3 linked regions of the Callithrix jacchus genome follow. The protein of the gene in region 1 purifies or fractionates together with the protein of each later gene. This does not show direct contact. Links are inferred from orthologs where the notes say so. Each region holds a gene or a part of one and is shown in the gene's direction. Other genes may lie near its edges.

Evidence for each region.
Region 2: the proteins of SRF (region 1) and MRTFA purify together in Homo sapiens (affinity purification with western blotting; 4 studies listed by BioGRID and IntAct, with this or other methods). This does not show direct contact. The link is inferred for Callithrix jacchus from reciprocal best matches to the Homo sapiens genes SRF and MRTFA.
Region 3: the proteins of SRF (region 1) and MYOCD purify together in Homo sapiens (affinity purification with western blotting; 3 studies listed by BioGRID and IntAct, with this or other methods). This does not show direct contact. The link is inferred for Callithrix jacchus from reciprocal best matches to the Homo sapiens genes SRF and MYOCD.

Annotation. Positions count from the first base shown.
Region 1 is NC_133505.1:51,642,230-51,649,171, forward strand, and holds the start of SRF (serum response factor), read left to right. Parts: upstream 1-2,797; 5' UTR 2,798-3,186; coding exon 3,187-3,702; intron 3,703-3,906; exon of another isoform or gene 3,907-4,118; intron 4,119-5,393; coding exon 5,394-5,660; intron 5,661-6,942. UniProt on the Homo sapiens protein: SRF is a transcription factor that binds to the serum response element (SRE), a short sequence of dyad symmetry located 300 bp to the 5' of the site of transcription initiation of some genes (such as FOS).
Region 2 is NC_133502.1:191,340,082-191,347,017, reverse strand, and holds the start of MRTFA (myocardin-related transcription factor A), read left to right. Parts: upstream 1-2,661; 5' UTR 2,662-2,816; coding exon 2,817-2,903; intron 2,904-6,936. UniProt on the Homo sapiens protein: Transcription coactivator that associates with the serum response factor (SRF) transcription factor to control expression of genes regulating the cytoskeleton during development, morphogenesis and cell migration.
Region 3 is NC_133506.1:79,200,851-79,207,827, forward strand, and holds the start of MYOCD (myocardin), read left to right. Parts: upstream 1-2,702; 5' UTR 2,703-2,996; coding exon 2,997-3,051; intron 3,052-3,645; exon of another isoform or gene 3,646-3,691; intron 3,692-6,977. UniProt on the Homo sapiens protein: Smooth muscle cells (SM) and cardiac muscle cells-specific transcriptional factor which uses the canonical single or multiple CArG boxes DNA sequence. Acts as a cofactor of serum response factor (SRF) with the potential to modulate SRF-target genes.

The DNA of each region.
Region 1 (6,942 bases):
GAAATTGGAGAGAGGACAGCCTATTTGGAGGGTAGCTAAGGACTGTGTTCTTCACGGACAACTGCTCTATAGGAGCTCCCCTATAGATGTGGCAGGGAGCAGTTGTCTGTCCCTGCTGAGGGATGTCACCCTTGCATGTGTCTAAACTAGGAGGCTCAAATGAAAAAGTCTTTAGAGGGTAGGTGGGAATGAAATCCCAGGGCTTTGGCTGTAATATTTTGGTGCTTAGACAAAACATGACCCCAAGCATCATTTGTGGCCCCTAAAACCCTTCTGGAACCTATTTATCTATTTGACCTGTTCTTCCTCTTGGGCTAACTTGTTCCATATGTTGAAGTACCTGTGGTAAAGGGTAAATTGGTGGGGGGAGGGGCAACCTCTTTAAAACTATTGGGGGCTGGGCGCCATGGCTCAGGCCTTCAATCCCAGCACTTTGGGAAGCTGAGGTGAGAGAATAGATTGAGCCCCGAAGTTTGAGACCAGCCTAGGCAACATAGGGAGACCTCATCTCTATCTTACAAAAAATACATGCTATGTTTTATTCATTATATACACTATATTTTACTGATCACTTGCACATATTTAATTTCAGTATTTCTCAAAGCTTTTGGATCGTGACTTATAGTAAGAAATGCAGTTGATATTGTCACATACACTGAATGATAAGAAACTGACAATATCCCACCTTCTTGACCTATAAAATGGTAATTTTATAGGGTTCAACTTATATATAATGCAAACAAATGTTTTATGCAGCAATATTTGACTTTGCTTTTTGTGATACCCACTAATTATTTTAAATGTCAATTGTAGTATACTGAATTGATGTTACTACCACTACTAGTAATGAATAGGTTACAATCAACTGCTTTATTAAATCCTCCCAATTTTTCCGGCAGGAATAATCAGTCTCCTATCCCCTTAAACATTCGAAGATGCTAGGATGAGATGACTTACTCCAGGTAATTCCTATTGCCTAAGCACTGACCAATTACTTTGCCCTTTAGCCTTTATCTCATTAAATCTGCATTAAGAATTTCATGGAGTAGGCTAGACATGGTGGTTCACACCTGTAATTCCAGCCCTTTGGGAGGCTGAGGCGGGCAGATTACTTGAGGTGACCAGGAGGTCAGTGGTTTGAGACCAGCCTGGACAACATCGCCCCATCTCTACTAAAAATACAAAATAATTAGCTGGGTGTGATGGCGGGCACCTGTAATCCCAGTTATTTGGGAGGCTGAGGCAGCAGGAGAATCGATTGAACCTGGGAGGCGGAGGTTGCAGTGAGCCGAGATTGTGCCAGCACTCCAGCCTAGGCGACAGAGCAAGACTCTGTCTCAACAACAACAACAACAAAAATCTCATGGAATGGATAGCAACATTGATGAATATGGAGTTTGGAAATATCAGATCACTTGTTTCCAGGCACAGGGCTACCAAGAGGCAGATTCCAGATTTAAATAATTCTCTAACAGCAAAGTCCAAGCTATTTTCACTGCTTTGGCAAAAACATCCAGACCCAGACTTTGAACCTGGCTTTGCAGCACCCCAGTTCTAATCTTTAAATTTTTTTTCTGCGGGGCACGGTGGTTCAAGCCTATAATCCTAAGAGTTTGGGAAGCGGAGGGGGAAGGATCGCTTGAGGCCAGGGGTTCGAGATCAGTCTGGGCAACAAGGCAAAAACCCATCTCTACAAAAAAATACAAAAATTAGGCCACTGTGGTGGCATGCGCCTGTAGTCCCAGCTACGTGAGAGTCGCTTGAACCCAGGAGGCGGAGGTTGTCATGAGCCAAGATCGCGCCACTGCACTCCAGGTTGGGCGACAGAGCGATACCATGTCTGAAGAAGAAAATTTATTTTTCCTCCAACGGGCTTTCCAGAGAAGGGTGTGCATGTGCGTGTGTGTGCGCGAGCGTGCTTTCTTGCTTAAACTTTCTGTCAGGCTACACTTTCCCCGGTCTTTGCACTGGCGGTAGGGTGGGCTTTATCCTCGGGACGCCCCCCTCCCCCCAGCCCAGCCTGCAGCTGGAAGTCTTCACTGATCTCCGTCTCTTCTCCCTGCCCGCCTCGGGGAGTGGGAGGCCGATCTGTCTCTCGCCCTCCCCTCCACCCGCCTTTTCCAGATGTATGTCTGCCAAAGACCCCACCGTGCAGAGGATGATGAATGAGGATTCGCGAGCCAGCTTGGTGGGAAAGTGTCGTCGCCTACAAAAGCGAGGGAAAAGGAAGGGAAGTCGGGGGGGAGGGGAAAAGTTAGAGCGGAGGGGCCGGGGCGCGACAAGTCTGGACACCGGGGACCCAAGCCCCCTCCGCTCCGCCAATAACTGTGCCTTCCTCAGGAGGGTGTGAGGAAGTGCTCCAATCGATCCCTACACTCCTCCCTTGGAATCTGAGCTGCATTTTAAATTTTACTGCAAACCCCACAATCCACCCAGGGGTTTCCCCAGTGTTTGCCTCCAGCGTCCCGATGCCCATTTCCTAGTGCTGCTCCCTCTCCTCCGCAAGACTGCGCTCCAGTCCTCTCCCAGGCTGCTTCTCCGCCGGTGCCTCCCAAACCATGCTACCATTCTCGGGTTCAGGGAGGCGGAGTCGTGCCTGCTCTCCGGTTCCTTTAAGAGGCGTCGGCTCCTCCCTTCTTGGAGTCGCGGTCTGACGCGGGATGACAGCAACGAGTTCGGTATGTCTATGCAAATAAGCGAACCCGTGGGCCAATGGGGAGCGGAGGTGCCGGAACCGCGGACCAATGGGGCGGGGGCGCTGGGGCTCACCATATAAGGAGCGGCCTCGCCATAAAAGGAAACATTGTATCTCTTTATATGGGGGGAAGGGTCGGGGGATCCCTCCGCCGCCAGCGCGTGGTCCCGGCCCCCTCCACCCGCTGTCTCGGCCGCGGCCAGCAGCCCCTGCCCCCCGGGGGACGCTGACGGCCGCCGGGCGCGCCGCCCTAGCAGACGGACAGGGGGCGCTGCGCGCGGCCTGGGGCAGCCCGGGCCACAGGGGCAGGAAAGTGAGGGCCCAGGTCGGCCCGGGCGTGCAGGGGCCCCGGGTTCGCAGCAGCTGCCGCGGCAGCGATAGCGGCACCAGCAGCAGCGGGAGTGCCGGGTTGAGCCGGGAAGCCGATGGCGGCGGCGGCGGCGTCTCCGATTCCTCGCTGACTGCCCGTCCGCCCTCCTGCATCGAGCGCCATGTTACCGAGCCAAGCTGGGGCCGCGGCGACTCTGGGCCGGGGCTCGGCCCTGGGGGGCAGCCTGAATCGGACCCCGACGGGGCGGCCGGGCGGCGGCGGCGGCGGGACTCGCGGTGCTAACGGGGGCCGAGTCCCCGGGAACGGCGCGGGGCTCGGGCCCGGCCGCCTGGAGCGGGAGGCTGCGGCAGCGGCGGCAACCACCCCGGCGCCCACCGCGGGGGCCCTCTACAGCGGCAGCGAGGGCGATTCGGAGTCGGGCGAGGAGGAGGAGCTGGGCGCTGAGCGGCGCGGCCTGAAGCGGAGCCTGAGCGAGATGGAGATCGGCATGGTGGTCGGTGGGCCCGAGGCGTCGGCGGCGGCCACCGGAGGCTACGGGCCGGTGAGCGGCGCGGTGAGCGGGGCCAAGCCGGGTAAGAAGACCCGGGGCCGCGTGAAGATCAAGATGGAGTTCATCGACAACAAGCTGCGGCGCTACACGACCTTCAGCAAGAGGAAGACGGGCATCATGAAGAAGGTACCAAGCCGGCGGGCTGGCGGGCCCGGGAGGCCGGGAGGGGTGGGGATGCACAGGGGGAGCCCGGGAGGAAGGCTGAGCCGAGGCGGAGGTGAGAGGCGGCGAGTCCTCTGGAGGTATGTGGGAGGGGATGGCTCCTGCCCGGGGAGGGCCGAAGGGGAGGGGCCGCCTGGGAAATGTGGGGAGAGGGGAGATCCCGCGAACACCCGGAACCGTGGGGAAAGGCGCCGAGGTGGGAGTGACCGGCGCGCGAGGGGAAGAGGGCTCTTGCTGAGTGAAGGGGTGAGGAGTGGTCATGAGAGGCTTCGAGGCTGCCAGGCTGCCAAGGAGGTGGATAAAGAGAAGCGGGATCAGTAGGTCCTGTGCACTCTGGTGTTCGGAGGAGGGCGCCGGAAAAGCAGGGAGCGGACGAGAAGGTATGGAGGTGAGGAGGCTGGAGCTGCATGACAACAATGAGCGAGCATGTGTGGGAGGAAGCGGGCACCACAAGAGTAGTGCTTGTTCGAAGGACAGGCAGGGTTAGGAACCAGGTAAGGGAGCCGGGCAGGAGAACTGGTGCTGCCCTGAGCAGCAGGGACCTAGTCCCGCGCCGGTCGTGAGTCTTTCATGGCATCCACTGGGAACCGCATGCTCCTGGCAGGACCAGCTGCAGAATTTCCTGCAGTTAGGACAAGTGGGGTTTCCAGCCCTATGGAGAATCTATGCATGGATGGGGTTTGGGGGAAGTCAGGGAGGCTTGCAGAGGTACCTAGGAATTTCTCATCTGCCAGCCAGTGAAAGTGGTGAGGAAAGGAGTAATTTTGGGGTGTAGAAGGTAAGGGAAGGGATGAAAGCAGAGGAATTGGGAAACAAGGAGCTGGATCCTTGGGAACACTGGCTGGTGTTTATTTCTGTCCCATGTAGAAACCAGAGCTGCTTCCAAGGTGGTTCGTAGAACTTCGTTGGGAGGGTATGGCATCCATGGGGCCATCCTTTAAGGTCCTCTTCCTGGGCTCATGGCAGGATGTTCAGTACTAATCTAGGTCTCATCTCCCATCACTCAGGACACTGTTGTATCAGTGTCCCTTATCACTTGATCATCAGTGGAGAGGGTTGTGGGGGGAGGTAATTAATGAAGGAAAACTCTCTTCTCTCCTTTCATAACCTTCTTCCCAAGACAAAGAAAAAAGGGCAGTAAAGTATTACAGGACAAAAGGAGAAATTAGGCTGTCAACAAGTTGGAGCCTGTACAGTTTCTGGAAAGAAACATGGAACAGTTGGAGCTTGAGTGGTCCCTTATCACTGTCTTGTGCAAATTCCACTGTGGTAGGTAGGGATCCATCCTGGTCCCTGTGACAGTGAGGAGGGGTGAGGCTCTGGGACATTCCAGACTCTAAGCTGTGTTGGAGAGCAGCTAGCTGGGTCCTTCGTTCGTATCCCCTGAGGTTGTATGTTCCACCACCGGCCAGCTATTACTGTTTGCTTGGGGTATCTACGGGTCAGTGGGGCTACTCCTCAAAGGAGGAGCATGGGTAGTTTTGCTGCTTCCAGAGATCCTGATAGGACACTCTGCCCCCAGAGTCACTAGAGATGAAGGTCATTATGGGAATGGGGGAACGGGGATCACTGTATAATTCTTCTTTTTCCAACTTCCCAAGGAAGGTAGAGATTAAAAATTTGCTGACCTGCCTGTCTCCCTCCTCACCCCTCAGGCCTATGAGCTGTCCACGCTGACAGGGACACAGGTGCTGTTGCTGGTGGCCAGTGAGACAGGCCATGTGTATACCTTTGCCACCCGCAAACTGCAACCCATGATCACCAGTGAAACCGGCAAGGCACTGATTCAGACCTGCCTCAACTCGCCAGACTCTCCACCCCGCTCAGACCCCACAACAGACCAGAGAATGAGTGCCACTGGCTTTGAAGAGACAGATCTCACCTACCAGGTGTCGGAATCTGACAGCAGTGGGGAGACCAAGGTGTGTTTGGGTTGCCTGTGTGAGAGGAGGGAAGGGAAGAGGGTTCCTCTCCCTCTCTGGCCCAGGACAGGTGGATAGGTGCCTACGGATGTAGAGTGGAGCCGGATTAGCGACCCTCGTCCTAAGGGACAGGTGTCCATCCTCGCTTTCCTGACAGAGCCCGGCCCCCTAGATAAGCGGGCGGCCTCCGTGCCCATATAAGGCCCGCTCGGGCTCCACGCCGGCCTCCCGCCCGCAGCCCGCCTGCCTGGCAGGGCCATTGCATTCCTCCCGCCAGCTGTCTCCCCACTAGGGGCGGGGGTGTAGTTTAGCCCAGCCCTCCAGGCTGGGTCGCCTGGGAGTAGAAAGCGAGCACTCTGCTCCCGGGGTCCTGGGAACTCAGCACTCTCGGCAGGCAGGCTGATTGACTAGGTCGGAGACTACCTTACAAGCCTGCCGCCTGCCTCTTTAGGATGTTGGGGGCCTGGGCAGTTAGGGAGCGCTTTCGCCTGCTGCTAGGGATGCCGGGGCTGTTACGCCTCCCCCTTCCTTTTCCCGGTAAGGAGAGGGGGTGGGGCTTCCTCCCTTGCTGTCTGGGGAGCTCCACCTTCCGGGTAGCGCTTAACTAACTGGCCAATGGTAGGAAGCGGCACTGTTTGCCTTAGCAACGCCTCTGCCAATCAAGAGTCCTGGGCCCAGCTGCTTAGCAAAGGACTCGTGCCGAACCACCCCCAGCCTTTGAGCCTCTGGTTGACTCAGTTCGGGTCTGGGCTTGGTGGTTTGGTTCTCAGTTTCCTCCTTCCCCTTCTAAGAACGAAGGCCCCCTGAGGGGAGAGTCAGTGCTGTAGGCTTCTCCCTCTCTTAGTAGCATATCATCTGTAATAATTTTTAAACTTTTGTAACAGTAGGTCTCATTCCCAGGAAATTTGTTAGATGCGTACATTCTTTTGGTAGTTTACATCTTGGATGTGCATCATTGCCAGACCCTCAAGATCGCTCTCAAACTCTAAGTTCCCTGAGAAACTTAGAGTTCCTATCGGAAGCCTGACAAATCAGAGCTGTAAAAACTCTTAAAGAAAACATAGCAGCCCAGCCCCCTCATGCTTATAGAGGAAAACCAAGGTTCAGAAAAGGGGAGTGGTTATTTCAGGGTCACATAAATGGTCATTGCCAGAGCTAGGAACAGGCCTTGATGTCCTGACTCCCCAGCCAGTGAGATTACCACAGTCCATTGGAGCAGAGAACTCGGGATTATAATGATGGCAATAATCATCATCATTATCATAAGAACAGCAAATGTTTA
Region 2 (6,936 bases), on another chromosome or scaffold:
AACCATCATTGAGGACTGATGGCAAGAAAAAGGGTCTTCATCCCTATTGCTTTGTGGAGATGGGTAGCGGGTGTGGGAAAGGAAGTGAAGTGGGATTAGACATGTTCTGTGAAGCATTAGAGGATACCATTAGGATCTAGGGGCAATGATGATTTTATTACTTTTTCTTTTAGAGTCCGAGTCTTACTCTGTTACCTAGGCTGGAGCGGAGTCAGAGATTAGAGGGAGGCAGACAGCCCATAAGAAATATATATAAACAGAAATATATATAACCCCCCCGCCTTTTTTTTTTAAATGGAGTCTCACCCTCTCTGCTGCCCTGGCTGGCGTGCAGTGGTGGGATCTTGGCTCACTGCAACCTCCATCTCCCAAGTGCAAGCGATTCTCATGCCTCGGCTTCTTGACTAGCTGGAATTACAGGCATGCGCCACCACACCCGGCTAATTTTTGTACTTTTAGTAGCCACGGGGTTTTACCATGTTGGCCAGGCTGGTCTCAAACTCCTGACCTCAAGTAATCCTCTGGACTTAGCCTCCCAAAGTGCTGGGATTACAGGTGTGAGCCACCACACCCAGCCTAACCCTTTATATGTACACAAAGTATATGTGTGTCTATATAGAGTATATAAAACATGTACAACTTAAGTTGTCCAGAAAAACAGCAGAGGTATTTGTGAGAGGGTGAGCTTGTCTATAGTCTCTGCCATGAATGGGCAGAACTCACTTCCTGTCACTAATAAAATACACTTGTGCCTCCTCACCTGGACTTTTTCAGGAGGGCTGTGTCTGGGTGGGTACTATCTGGAATGCCCCAGCCCCACCCTGGTCATGTTTTGGGGAAATGTGCCCCACCCCAATAATTCCAACGGGGGTAATTTCTCCTCCGAGGCACACTTCTGCACCATTAGTCACCTGCGATATCCGCCTGGCACTGCAGTCACCGAAGTACATGCCTTAGCATCCCCCAGTTTGGTGTGAGCACCCCCAGGGTAGTGACTGTATCTTATACGCCCTCAGTGTTCTTACTCAAAAAATATTTGTCGAATAAATAATTTTATCAGGTATTTTGTGCAAGAATTTCTGCCTTGGGGGAAGGTGTGTGTGACTAAGGACCCACGAGGATCCGTCTAGCTCCAAGATTCTGCCACCGGGGCTTTGGTACTGAACCGGAAACTGACTTATAGTGAGTAATTGGGAATATTCCAAGGCCACTTTGACTTCCGCAGCTGTTGGAGAGAGCGGCACCCTCTCCCGCCCTCCCTCTGAGAGTTCACCAATGGGCAGTCCCAGAAGCCTTTGAGGGGGAAAAGAGGGTCATAGTGAGGATATACCCTGGAATGTAAAGTGAGCGGCTCCTTTTCAGTCTTTGTGTCTATTCACGGGTCCGCCCCAAACCTAGAAGAATGCTCCTGACCCCTTCTTCCTCTACCTACTGTTATTCCTTCCTCTGACTCTGTCTGGTGACCCTATCCCCGGACGCCTTCCGGAAAGCGCTTCCCCCCTCTTTTCCACCCCACCGAGTTGGAGTTATTTCTCCTTTTCTGGGCTCTCTCCCATTGCTGGGGAGGAAGAGGGACATGAACGGCCTGCCTGACCGCGGCTTTCGTCGCAATGGGCCTGGATTACTTTGTTTCTCTCTCCCCTTTTGCCTCTATCCTTTCTCCCTGTTGCAGTCATGGACTTCACACATTTAAAAAAATAGATATATATTCACAAATACAGTTTTTAAATCGGGCAGCCACCCTGCTCCCCGCCCCCCGCCCCCAGCCCAGAATAGGTTTAGAGAGGTGTCCGGGTTCACTTGCTGAGTGTGTGGCCTCTGCGCCTAAGGCGCGCCCCTTCACTACACGAATGGGTGCGGCAAGGGTATAGGATTTTAGAATTCCAAGAGTCGTCGGGGTTCATCCCGTGGAATCCTCCTTTTGCAAATGCTCTCTTGGAGTCTTCCGATGCAAGCTCTTGGGCTCACGCAGCCCTTTTCCTCTTCCAAGCCCAGAGCACTTTCGCTGCTGCTGATCACCACGGTCTTGGCAGGTAGGGAGGGGCAGGCAGGTGTCAGCGTCTTCCCTTTCACCGTTGGGGAAATTGACTCAGAGAAACAAGGTGACGGACCTCGGCGGGGCGGGACTGTAACAGGAATTCAGGGCTCCAGGCCAGAGAGGAATTTATTGTGTCTCGTTTTGGAAGCGTGAATGTGAAATGATCGACTTCGGAGTCCCAAGCGGAGACCCTTCAGCCCCGGAGAAGAATCAGGATGGGGTCTGGGATTAATGGAGTAATTACTCGCGGCTGAGCATTGATCCCTTGGCAACTTGGCAAGGTCCGGCAGGGTCCACCGCCCTTTCCTTCACAGGGTGACCAGTGGGCTGCGGCCTCTTTAAGGCCCAGCGCTCCGCCCCCGGCTCGTCGCCGACCTCTTCTTCGCAGCTCAGCCAGTTCCAGACTTTCCTCAGCGATGAGGTCATCTTCCCGCTGCCCATTGGCTGCGACGTGCAGTCAGTCACAGGAAGTCACGCCGCCGTCCTCGCCTTCTTCGTGCCGCTTCCTTCTCTGCCCGCCCCATAGTCCGCCGATCACGACCCCGATCAGGCCTATGATTGGCTAGCACCGCCGTCACTTCTCTAGTGGGCGGTCTTCAGGGCGGGAGGCGGGCGTGGTGGGCGGGCCCGCAGCTTCCGCGGCTGCGAGGAGCCGGCGGTAGCAGCGTCTGTGGTGGCCGCGGCAGCTAGAGCGACGGTCCCATCCTCACCACCTTCTCGGTTGCTGCTGGCCACTCGCCTTCCGCTGTCGGCGACTTCTTAGCTCCGTGCGCCCTGGATGGACGTTGAGCCTCTGGAGGAGACGCGGACGGCTAGAGCCGGAGTGGGGCGAGCCGCGGAGCCCGGCCAGGAACAGCGAGAGGCGGTGAGTGAGAGTCCAGGCTGGGGACCCCTCCCCCACCGCGGCCCCGCCCCGCCCGGAGCATCCTTTCTCCCCGCGACCCCTCTGCGAGCGCCCCCCGGGGGTCGGGCGGGGCGGCCCTCGCGCCCCCGGCCCTCTTCCCGCCGGCCTTCTGCCCCTGCTCTCGGGACGCGAGTCGCTGAACCGCGGTCACTGTGTCGGGGCCGGGGCCGGGGCAGGGGCCGGGACCGGGACCGGGACCTAGGCGGGCGGGCGGGGCAGTGCACCTGTGCACCGCCTGGCGGGGCCGCGGTGCTCTGGGCGGGAAGCACGAAAGTCCTGGCCCTCGCAGCTCCCCGGGTGTGTTTTGATTGCAGCGATGAGGTGTCGGCCTTTTCTCTGGGATCTCGTACAAACCTTCAGGATCCAAGTGCATTCTTGGGGATTCCCAGGCAGGGAGGCTCAGCTGTAGCAACCTAATCGCAGCCAGGTGTACAGGGCTCTGCAGATCTGAAACTTGATGGTCAAGAACTTTACCCTCTAAGAAAGCGTCTGTCTGCCAGGACGCTGGTTGCAGCCCACCCTCCCCGCCTCGGGTACCTTTGATACTCCATAGTGCCCAGGGCTGGACCTTTTAAGTCGACTCCCAAACCTGCCACTTACTTGCTAGCTGTGTAATCTTGTGCCTTGGTGTCCTCGTCTGAAAAATGAGAACGTTAATACCACCAATCGCATATGGCTGTTTGTTGTAAGTGTGAAATGAAATAATTCACGTGAAACGTTGGACACAGTGCTTGGCGCTAGTAAGGGTACAAGAAATGTTTGCTTTTGGGATGTTGAGAATGACTGGTTTGCCCCAGTGTACATTAAGCACTAGCCCAGCTTGGCTTTGTCAAGATTTCTCTCTCGTCTCCGTTATGCAGCATAACGAAAGGGCAGTTGAACGGTTAACTGCTTGCCAGCCTCTATTTGGCATGAAGTGTGTGTATATACAGGAATGTGGAATACATCACTTAAATGTAATAATGGAATTACCCCCTGCATATATTTTTGTATGGTTTTAAACTCATAAGACGTCTGGAATGTCCCCGAGTTCCAAGTTTTTGAGATCTTTACAGGGTCTTTTCTACATGAAGCCAAAGCTTGTAACATAAGACTTATTGTTAATAAGAAGTTAAACTTACAGGTTTTACTTCAGAAGACCCCTCCCAAAACTCCAAATGTCACTTACGCAGTTTTACTGTTGAAAAGCAGTCATCTCCCGGGGGTGAGGTGGTACAGCCAGCTGGCCCACAGCCCCATGACTGCAGGGTGGGGAACCTTTGGCTGGAAGTTATTAAACTAAGTTTTGCCTGATGTCGTTTGCATATTTCATAGCGAATGTTACTGTTTCTTTATGTTACTGTTTCTTACTGAATGGTTTAGAAAGAAGCAATCCATTACTGCATTATTTAAAAACACCTGCAAAGAAAAAAATATCTGTAGTTTAGCTCTGGTGTTTCAGTTTTTGGCCAATAACTGTTAAGAAGGGCCCCTTTTTGGGCTGGGCGCGGTGGCTCACGCCTGTAATCCCAGCACTTTGGGAGGCTGAGGAGGGTGGATCACGAGGTCAAGAGATCGAGACCATCCTGGTCAACATGGTGAAACCCCCGTCTCTCCTAAAAATACAAAAAATTAGCTGGGCATGGTGGTGCGTGCCTGTAATCCCAGCTACATGGGAGGCTGAGGCAGGAGAATTGCCTGAACCCAGGAGGTGGAGGTTGCAGTGAGCCGAGATTGCGCCATTGCACTCCAGCCTGGGTAACAAGAGTGAAACTGTGTCTCAAAAAAAAAAAAAGAAGGGCCCCTTTTTAAGAAGGCTTTCAAAAGTCACATCCACTAGAATAAGTAATTTAGAGTCAAATCAAGAGAAGTGGAAGAGTAATATATATCCCATCACCCAAAAGTATTTACTGGGGACTTTTCCTGTCCTTAGTACTCTGCCAGATGCTATCAGGGAGTGATCTGAAAAAGTATGAAATAGGATCTCAGCCTGTAAAGGGCAAAACCATAAAGTTTGGGTCCACCTGGTAGTAATTACAAGTACTACTTAAGGGATGACTTCATTTATTCATTCAGCAGACTTTTTGTTCCACGTTTGTATTGTGCCAGGTGTTTTTCCAAGGGCTGGGGCTATCAAGGTAAGTGAGATATGAGATATGGTCTCTGTGCATGAGGCGCTCACAGTCTACTGGGAGAGGCAAAAAAAAAATGAGATTGTAACGTACGGAAATAAACTCTTAAGCACATATCCAGACTTTAATGGGAGATTCAAGGGAGCTTTTTCCTGCAGATGTATGGGAAGGCTTCAAAGAAGATGGCATTTGGGCTGAATGTTAACTCAGATGAAGGAGAGGAAAACCATTCCAAAGACAAATCACAGCTTAGAAAGGTTTCCTGATAGGCTTGGCACAGTGGCTCACACCTGTAATCAATCTGAGCACTTTGAGAGGCCAAGGCAGGAGGATCACTTGAGGCCAGGAGTTGGAATTGAGACCAGTTGGGCAACATAGTGATAGCTTGTCTCCACCAAAAAATTAAAGAATTAGCACGCATGGTGGTGTGCACCTGTAGTCCCAGCTACTCAGGAGACTGAGGTGGGAGGATCTCTTGAGCCCAGGAGTTTGAGGTAGCAGTAAGTTATGTTCGCACTGCACTCCAACCTGGACTTGCAGTGAGACCCTGTCTCAAAGAAAAAAAAAATCCTGATAAACCTTCTAATACACCAGTTATAGGCCCCAAGGAGGGAGAAGGGAACTAACATTCCTGATGCCCACTACACAAAAGCTAGGCTTTTATTCTGTTGCATAAGGATAGGGAAACAGGCTGCAACTAGTTAAATAACTCATTTAGGGATACAGAGTTAACAGAACCAGGACTCGAATCTCTGACTTAAAAATACGGTATGTTCTTTTCCTTTCAACCTGCTTTTGTAGGGGTAAATATAAGAGAGGTTAAAAAGTTCTATGCATCGGCCAGGCGCAGTGGCCCATGTCTGTAATCTCAGTCCTTTGGGAGGCCGAGATGGGCAGATCACCAGAGGTTGGAAGTTTGAGACCACCCTGACCAACATGGACATACCTCATCTCTACTAAAAAACATGCACAAAATTAGCCAGGTGTGGTGGCACATGTGCGTAATTCCAGCTACTCAGGAAGCTGAGGCAGGAGAATCGCTTGAACCCGGGAGGCAGAGGTTGCAGCGAGCTGAGATTGTGCCATTGCACTCCAGCCTGGGCAACAAGAGCAAAATTCCGTCTCAAAAATAAAAAGAAAGTTCTACCTATATTATTATCATTTTACTATTACAGATTACTTTCTGTGAAATAAATGTTTCATATTTGATTTAGAATCACTAAGGTGATATAATAAATAAAACTTACCTTTATTAAATGGTATATATTTTATACCTATAAATTAGGTGGCATTTCCTAAAAAGTATGGCCTGTGGAAACATTCAGTAAAAATGGAGTACCTTGATATATACAGATTGTATATGAAGCACTTTACTAACTCTGTTAAAGAGGTATAAACTTTCTTCGAGAGTGCAGCTTACTTAAGTATATTTAAAAAGAATTTGTAGATGTATGGCCATTTAATTTCCAAAGGGGAAATTAGAATTTTTAAGTCATATTAACAAAGATGGTTGTATTACATTTAGGGAAAACACTATAGCAAGCCCATATACTAGCAGGCTCCCCAAGGGTGAAGATATCTGTTTTTCTTCCCAGCTTCTAGAGCAGTTCTTGGCACATAACAGGTACTCAGTAAATATTTCTTGAATATAAGATGAACATGAACAAATATATGTTTACTCCATGTTCTTGTGTCTGTATATATATTTATATAAATGCTGGGGTTGGTAGTTGGAATTAATAAACATAAGGAACATTTTCATCTACTGAGAAAAAACCTTGGTCAGGAGGTTATATTTCACATCTTTGAAAGAGAAAAGAGAAGACGTGGATGGGTATGGACAAAATGGTATAAGCTTGGGGAGTAGTTTTTTTTTTTTATAA
Region 3 (6,977 bases), on another chromosome or scaffold:
GAGAAAAAGAAACTATGCTTCCCCGCCCCCACCCTCCTCCCCACACACACACACACTCCCAGGCCTGCAGAGAGAAAACAACTTATTCCTGGCCAACTCATCTAGGTCATGCAGACCCTACATTCGGTGCTGGCTTCAGCTAATTTCATCCCAACTTTCACTGAAAAAATAATTCTCCGCCAAGTTGCCATGTATCTCTTCTCAGCCCCAAACTTCGGGATAAAAATCTGTTTGGCTTTTTCTTTTTTCTTTTTTTAATGTTGCTCAAAATAGTTTACTCAGATAATTTTGCAATATTCTTTATCCCACCAATCTCTTCCCTGCAGAGTCCCTCCCTGCCACACACATCTCAAAGCCAGTTGGAGCCCTTCCAGACTCCTGTGTGCACACATTCCCAAACCTCCCTCCACTTTCCTTATTTTCCTTGAAGACCAGGGGGCTGGGGCTTGACTGAAGATTAGGAGAGACAGAAGAGAAAGAAAGGTCTCTGTGGGACAGGAGGAATCATGCCCTCTCTTCGCAAGTTCATGTTCTAATCCCAGGAATCTGTGACTAGGTTACATTACATAGCAAAGGGAATCCACGCAGTAGGAAGGATGATAAACTGACTTTATGACAGAGCTTATTTATTCATTTATTTATTTATTGAGAGAGAGTTTTGCTCTTGTTGCCCAGGTTGGAGTGCAATGGCACAATCTCGGCTCACCACAACCTCCCCAGTTCAAGCAATTTTCCTGCCTCAGCCTCCGGAGTAGTTGGAACTACAGGCATGTGCCACCATGCCTGGCTAATTTTGTATTTTTAGTGGAGATGGGGTTTCTTCATGTTGGTCAGGCTGGTCTCTAACTCCCTACCTCGGGTGATCCACCCCCTTCAGCCTCCCTAAGTGCTGGGATTACAAGTGTGAGCCACCATGCCCGGCCTAGAGTTTATTTTTGCAGTAAGGTTACCTTAGAAGAGGGAAGCAGGAGGTGGGGAAGGGAGCATTAAAGCGATAAGATGCAATAAGAACCTGACCCAGGATTGCTTGCTTTGAAAATGGAGGAAGGGGCCATGAGCCAAGAACTCAGGCAGCCTCTAGAAGCTAGAAAAGGCAAGGAAGTAGATTTCCCCCTAGAGCCTCCAGAAATAAAAGCAGCCCTGCTGACATCTTGATTTTGACCCACTGAGACGCACTTCTGACCTCCAGAACAGCAAGATAATAAATCTGTGCTGTTTTAAGCCACTCAATCCACAGTAATTGGTTATAGCAGGAATGGGAAAATGATGTTACATAACTGCTGAGATGCTCCCGCACACCAAATCAGCCTGTAGACTGGCGTTCAGGCCAGAACTAGATTCCCAAAGGCAACATGGACGGATTGTTCTTCCTCTTCTCTGACCCATCAGGAAGAAGGTGTCTATTCCTGAAGACCTTATTTACAAAAAAGACCAGCTCAGATCCAGAGATTGAGCTCAAGGGCTAACCCCGTAATATGTTTCCAGCAACAACGGATGGGGCAGAGGCCGGGACTCAGGGCATTAGAGGTTGTCCCATGAGCTATATTGTCACCTCGGGTCTCCATCGGTAACCGAGTGATCTTTTAAGGACTGGTAGTAAAGACATAGGCAGGCTTGTGTGTAACAGTCGACACCCGGGAACCCACGTGCACATGAGGTTGCAAATCAACCCTAATTATATACGTATATAGAGTGTGTTTTTTTTTAATGTTCTGAGCCACCAACTATTAAACCAGCTTCTCGAGAGCTGGGTCTTTGTATTATTTCATTGATCCATGTGCCTAGAACACCTCGGCAAGATGCTCCAATAACTCTGGATCGGTTACGGAATTAACTTTCGCCTATGGAAAGACTCATTTGCAGGCAGTTTTTGCGCCTTTCCAGGCTAACCCCAACCAGAGCTCTGGCTTGCCCTCTGCTCCAGAGCCCCTCCCTATTCACAGTCCAGTAGGGTTTTGACTCAGACTCAGGTATCTTTCCCCATTCCCTCGGGTTTGGAGGTGGGAGCATTGAGTCGCCGCTGGATCTCCAGATGCACCGAGTCACATCCCCCAGCCTACCCCCAAAAAAGCATATCCTAGAAAAATGCAAGCTTTTCCATTTTCCCCGTGGAAATGCATCCAAGTCCGGTATTGGAGCTGCGAGACACAGAATCGTCCCTGCCTGTGCACTGAGCCCCTCAAACCGAGGGGAAGGTGTGGGCTTCGGTCCTTCGGAGGCGTTTCTTCTCAGGGGTCCAGCTGATTTCCAAACCGTCCCGCGGGCGCTCACGCCCTTTGCCGCCGGCTGGAGGGAGATCCCGACCGCGTCCCTCCGGCAGGCAGAAGCCCTGGCGGGGAAGCCCCGGCTGCGCACGCCCATGCCCAGGCCCGCAGAGCTCCCCGCGCCGCCGCAGCCCCGCGCACCACCTGCAGGCCCCGCGGCGTGGCAGCCCCTCTGACTTTCCTCCGGGCCTCGGTTCCTTAGCTCTGGCCCCTCTCGCGGATTCCCGACCCCCGGCCCTGCTCCCGCCCTCTGCGCCCCGGAGGCCGCGGGGCCCGCTGCAAAGAGTTAAGAGCCGGCTCCCGAGACTGCTCCGGCGGCTCCGGGTCCCCCGGGCCCCGCTCGCCGCTGCTGATTGGCTGAGCGCCTGTCAGTAGTAAAGAGTATCGGGTGGCAAAGTTGGGACCTTCATAAAGGCGTGGTGGCGATTCTCCGCAATCGCCGGCAGCCTATGACATCAGCCAGGATCGCCTGGGATGCCGCTGCCCCCAGCCAACCTCCGAGGAGGAGGAGGGTCCCGCCGGCTAAGAGTTAATTAGCCCCGCACGGCGAGGGGGGGAGGCGCCAGTTTTCTGGGGACACTGGCTGCCACTGTACTCCTACCCAGGGGAGCTCACGGCGAGTTGGATGAATTCTGGGTTGTTAGCTGCGGTCAGCTGGGCTCCCGGGAGCCTGTTGCTGGTGGAGAACAGGGGGCGCCTGGCAAAGGGACCCGCGGCTTGCTGAGCCTCAACATGACACTTCTGGGGTCTGAGCATTCCTTGCTGATTAGGAGCAAGTTCAGATCAGGTAGGGCATTTAGCATTCCTTCTTGAACTTTCCTTTTCTGCCATTCTCAACTCTAGAACTGCTTTCCAATAAATGTTTCCAAGCCTGCCAGGTCTACCTCAACTCTGTTCCCCAAAAGCACATTGTGGAAGCAAAGAATTTTATTTGACTTTTTGGGGGCCTTTTGTGTCTTCCGTTGTAAGTGCTTTTGGGTAGTAGAGTGTGGTTGTTCTTCTGTGAAAAGGTCAATCCTTCTATTTTATTTTCTCTGTATCTGTGAATAGAAATCTTGGAGGGGTACATTGAGAAGGGGCAACTTTGGAGACGAACGAATAAGGGATTTCAAGCTTGGACGCTGCGTAGTATCAGTTATGATCGCTGAGAAGATGAACCTGATGTTTGTGTGTTAGGTACAGGGTCATTTAAAATGTAGCTAATCCAAACAAAGTATTTCCCAAAAAAAGTCACTTGGAGGAAGTAAAAATAGCAAATTTGGAGCACACCAAGTATTTAAAATGACATCACTGTAGAAAAAAAAAAAGAAAGCCCAGTGCCACAAATATTTTTTCCCAAACCATCTGATATTTATAAATGGAGAATTTCCCCGAAATTTCTGTGTTAGTGGCACATGGAGAAACTTCTCAAAGGACGCTGAGTGGAGGTGAGTGGAAGGGAGAGACGGGAGCTCTAGCTGCTTCTCAAGAAGGGTTTGTGCACGTGCCCATGGAAGGTGTCCGTGTGGGTCTCCACGTTTAGACAAATCAACACTTGACTTCTGAAGTTATTTTTCGGTAACTCTGTGTATAATGTTGGTTTTAGAAAACTGGTTAACAACACAATAATGTAGAACGTCTACTTAGATTGGTTACTTTTAGGAGAACTCTGATGCGAATATTGACATAACAGGTGTCAGAAAGATACAGGCATGGTTTGCTAAGCTTTCGTAGCCCTTTACATGGGGCCAACGCAATTGTTTCACGTGGGATGGATGTTTCAAAAAGGAAAAATGTAGCTGCTAGGAGGTAAGGTTCATCTGTGACTTTCTTAGATGCCCTTGGTTTGTAGATGCCTGTGGGGTCAACTGGAGATTTTCTTAGGATCTTCACCGTTGACGCAAGTTGAAAACTCAGGAGCTTAGGCGGTCACAAGCCTCGCTGCCCCTGACGCTCTGGGATGAGTCTACCAGCCACCGGGGTCGGTAGTGGATTACGTCCTGCCTTTCCGTGGTGAGGTGAGGCGGTTGATCTGTTAATTAGCTAGGGACCGCGCCGCTGCTTTGTATTTGGTCGAAACTGCAAGGCAACACTGCCACCTTTCTGAAGAAGAGAGGATGTAGATTCGTTTTGTATGAAGCTGCATTCACTTCAAATGCTTCCTTGCCAGTTGAAATGTAGAGGGTCTGGGCGTGCTGGTTTGTCTCTAAAAGGATTTGGTGATGTACTTGATAGTAGACTTGCAAAACACCTATCGATCCCTCCTTCAGCTGAAGTGCAGTGGAGAGGAAAGGCAACGTTTGCACCACTCCCAACTTCCATTTCAGTGGATTTGGGGAGTCCTGGTGTCTCCTAAATAGACCCTGAAAACCCTGATCCTGGAGCTTCAGAGAATTCCAGCCTCACTTTTTAAGAAAGTTATGCAGGCTTTTGTGTCAAAAGGAAGGGTGGATTTGGGAAAACATGATATCAAAGCAGAAGCAGGCGTCTTTTATCCTCCCATCACTGATAAACAGGGAATCTGGAGTCTGAGATGCAAGCGTTGATCGTCTCTTGACAGACAGGAGAAAAAACAAGTGGAATGTAAGACTTAGAAACGTAATGTTTCAATGGTAGTTATTCTTTCCGGATGTAATTACTACTCTGGCTGGGCCAGCATTGAGGTGACAGCGTGCTGACAGTAGGGTCTCTCTTTAAGAGAACGCCGTTTATTTTGTGGCTAACAATGAATAAGTGCCTCGACTTTATTTTGATTTCTCGCTCTCTTTCACTATTTTCCCTTCTCCTTCATCATCTTCTCCTCCTCATCTTTCATAAGCAATTCAAATGTAAACTCATAAAACTGATTCGATCTCACTGCGAATATTTGCTTTGATAGTAGATCATGGTATTATGTATTCCATTAAATAAATGCAATGAAATTGTTCTCTGATTACAGCAACAGACTCACTGTGACAGGGTTGTTTATAAGTGAGCAGATAACTGCTTTTACTCTGAAATCATTGATGTCAGCCATGTCCGATCAACTTTCTATAAGCTGTAGTTGAGTGACCTCTTGATTAAGGACAAAATCATGCTACAGCAGCAGTAAACTCTGAAAGTTTACCTGTATGAACATGTTTGGTGATACAAACTCATTTGAAAAGCATGGGTCTCAGGGCCAGACTCGCTGGGTTTTTAATAGTAATCTCTACTCATTAGCTGCATGACCTTAAACGTTAGGTAAATTACATAATTCTCCGTGCCTCAACTTGCTTCCCCTGAAAATCAGGATGATTATAGGGTCATTGTGTGAATAAAATGTGAAGTAGAGAACTTCTAAAATGCCCAGCCCTTAGAAAGCTCTTACAAAACATTTTTCTATTATTAATACTGATGTACAGTGGGACCCGCAGTTGGTAACTTGCTCGTTCTCATTCTCAGTTATTTCATCAGTAAACGTCGGGGTTGTATTAGGCAATTTCTTAGACCTCTTTGGTAACATTCTATGGTTCTCTGGAAACATGTAGAGATTGGCTGGAACAAACATAACTGTGATTGCGCCTTGTGGCAATTGCACGTGAAGGAGAGGCAGTTTACATGCAGTGATTTGTGTTGATTTTAAACTAACCGCATTTGTACAGTTTTTAGTCTTCTCATGTTGTTTATTCAATATCTAATCAGTGTCACTATCAACAGTTCTCCCCAGTATCACTCCTCGTGTTCTACAAAACACCGGGGGACATACGTATGTGTGCCACCCACAGACACACACAGCCCTCAGACATGAAAGAACAAGTGGAAAGAGAGGTCCATGAAGGGATGTTGCTTCTAAAGAACCATTGCGTTTCTTTGGCTCCTCTCTCTCTTTTTCCCACTTCCCCATCTTAAACAGAGGGAAAGTCTGGCAACTGCCATGACCTTAACCCCACTCCCACAAATATAACCTTGTCTGGCTTAGCAAATAAAAATACAAAATGCCCAGTCCAATGTGAATTTCCAAGCAATAATTATTACTCCCTTTTGACTATATAGCGGCACTCGGGACATACTTTTCTCTGAAATCCAAATTTCACTGGGCCCTCTGTATTCTTTTGGCAACACCACCTACAATCTGAGTGGTTTTTGATCAACACTCCCTGTGGCCCCATCCAATATCCTATCAAGCTCTTGAGATTCTCCAGGTCCCCAAGCACTCCCCAAAATGCAAAACTTGTATTTAGGCATGAAAGCAGAAGACTCCAAATGGGAAGGGGATACCATGAGAGTGAACCCCAGCTTATGAGTGAGGAAGAACGTGGGAGCTTCACCTCTGCTCTCTGGTCATCTGGCAAGGAGGAAAATAAGCTCAACGGGCAGGCCGGTGGCTCCAGAAGTTGGAGCTATGGTTAAAAGAAGGCAGGGAACAGGCAACGCAGGTGCTCATGAGGCTGTGGCTGAACTCAGGTAGCAGGACCCCCCACACTGTTCTTCTACTCCAAGAGCACCCAGGAGCAAGCCTCTGGTGTCTGTAATTGGTTGCTCGTCCTTTCAGAGAGGGCAAGGGACATTTCAGCAGGACCCTGCAGACATCTCTATCCATCCTCCATCCTTCAGACAACCTAAAAGGACTGCTGGTTCCTACTTTAAGGAATATCCTTAACATCTCTGGCACTGAATTTTCTCTCTCAGGAATTGAGGTTAGACTAAGAGGTAGCACCCCCTAAGATTTTTATCATAATGGACACTATTGAAGAAATTTTCATCGTGAGCTCA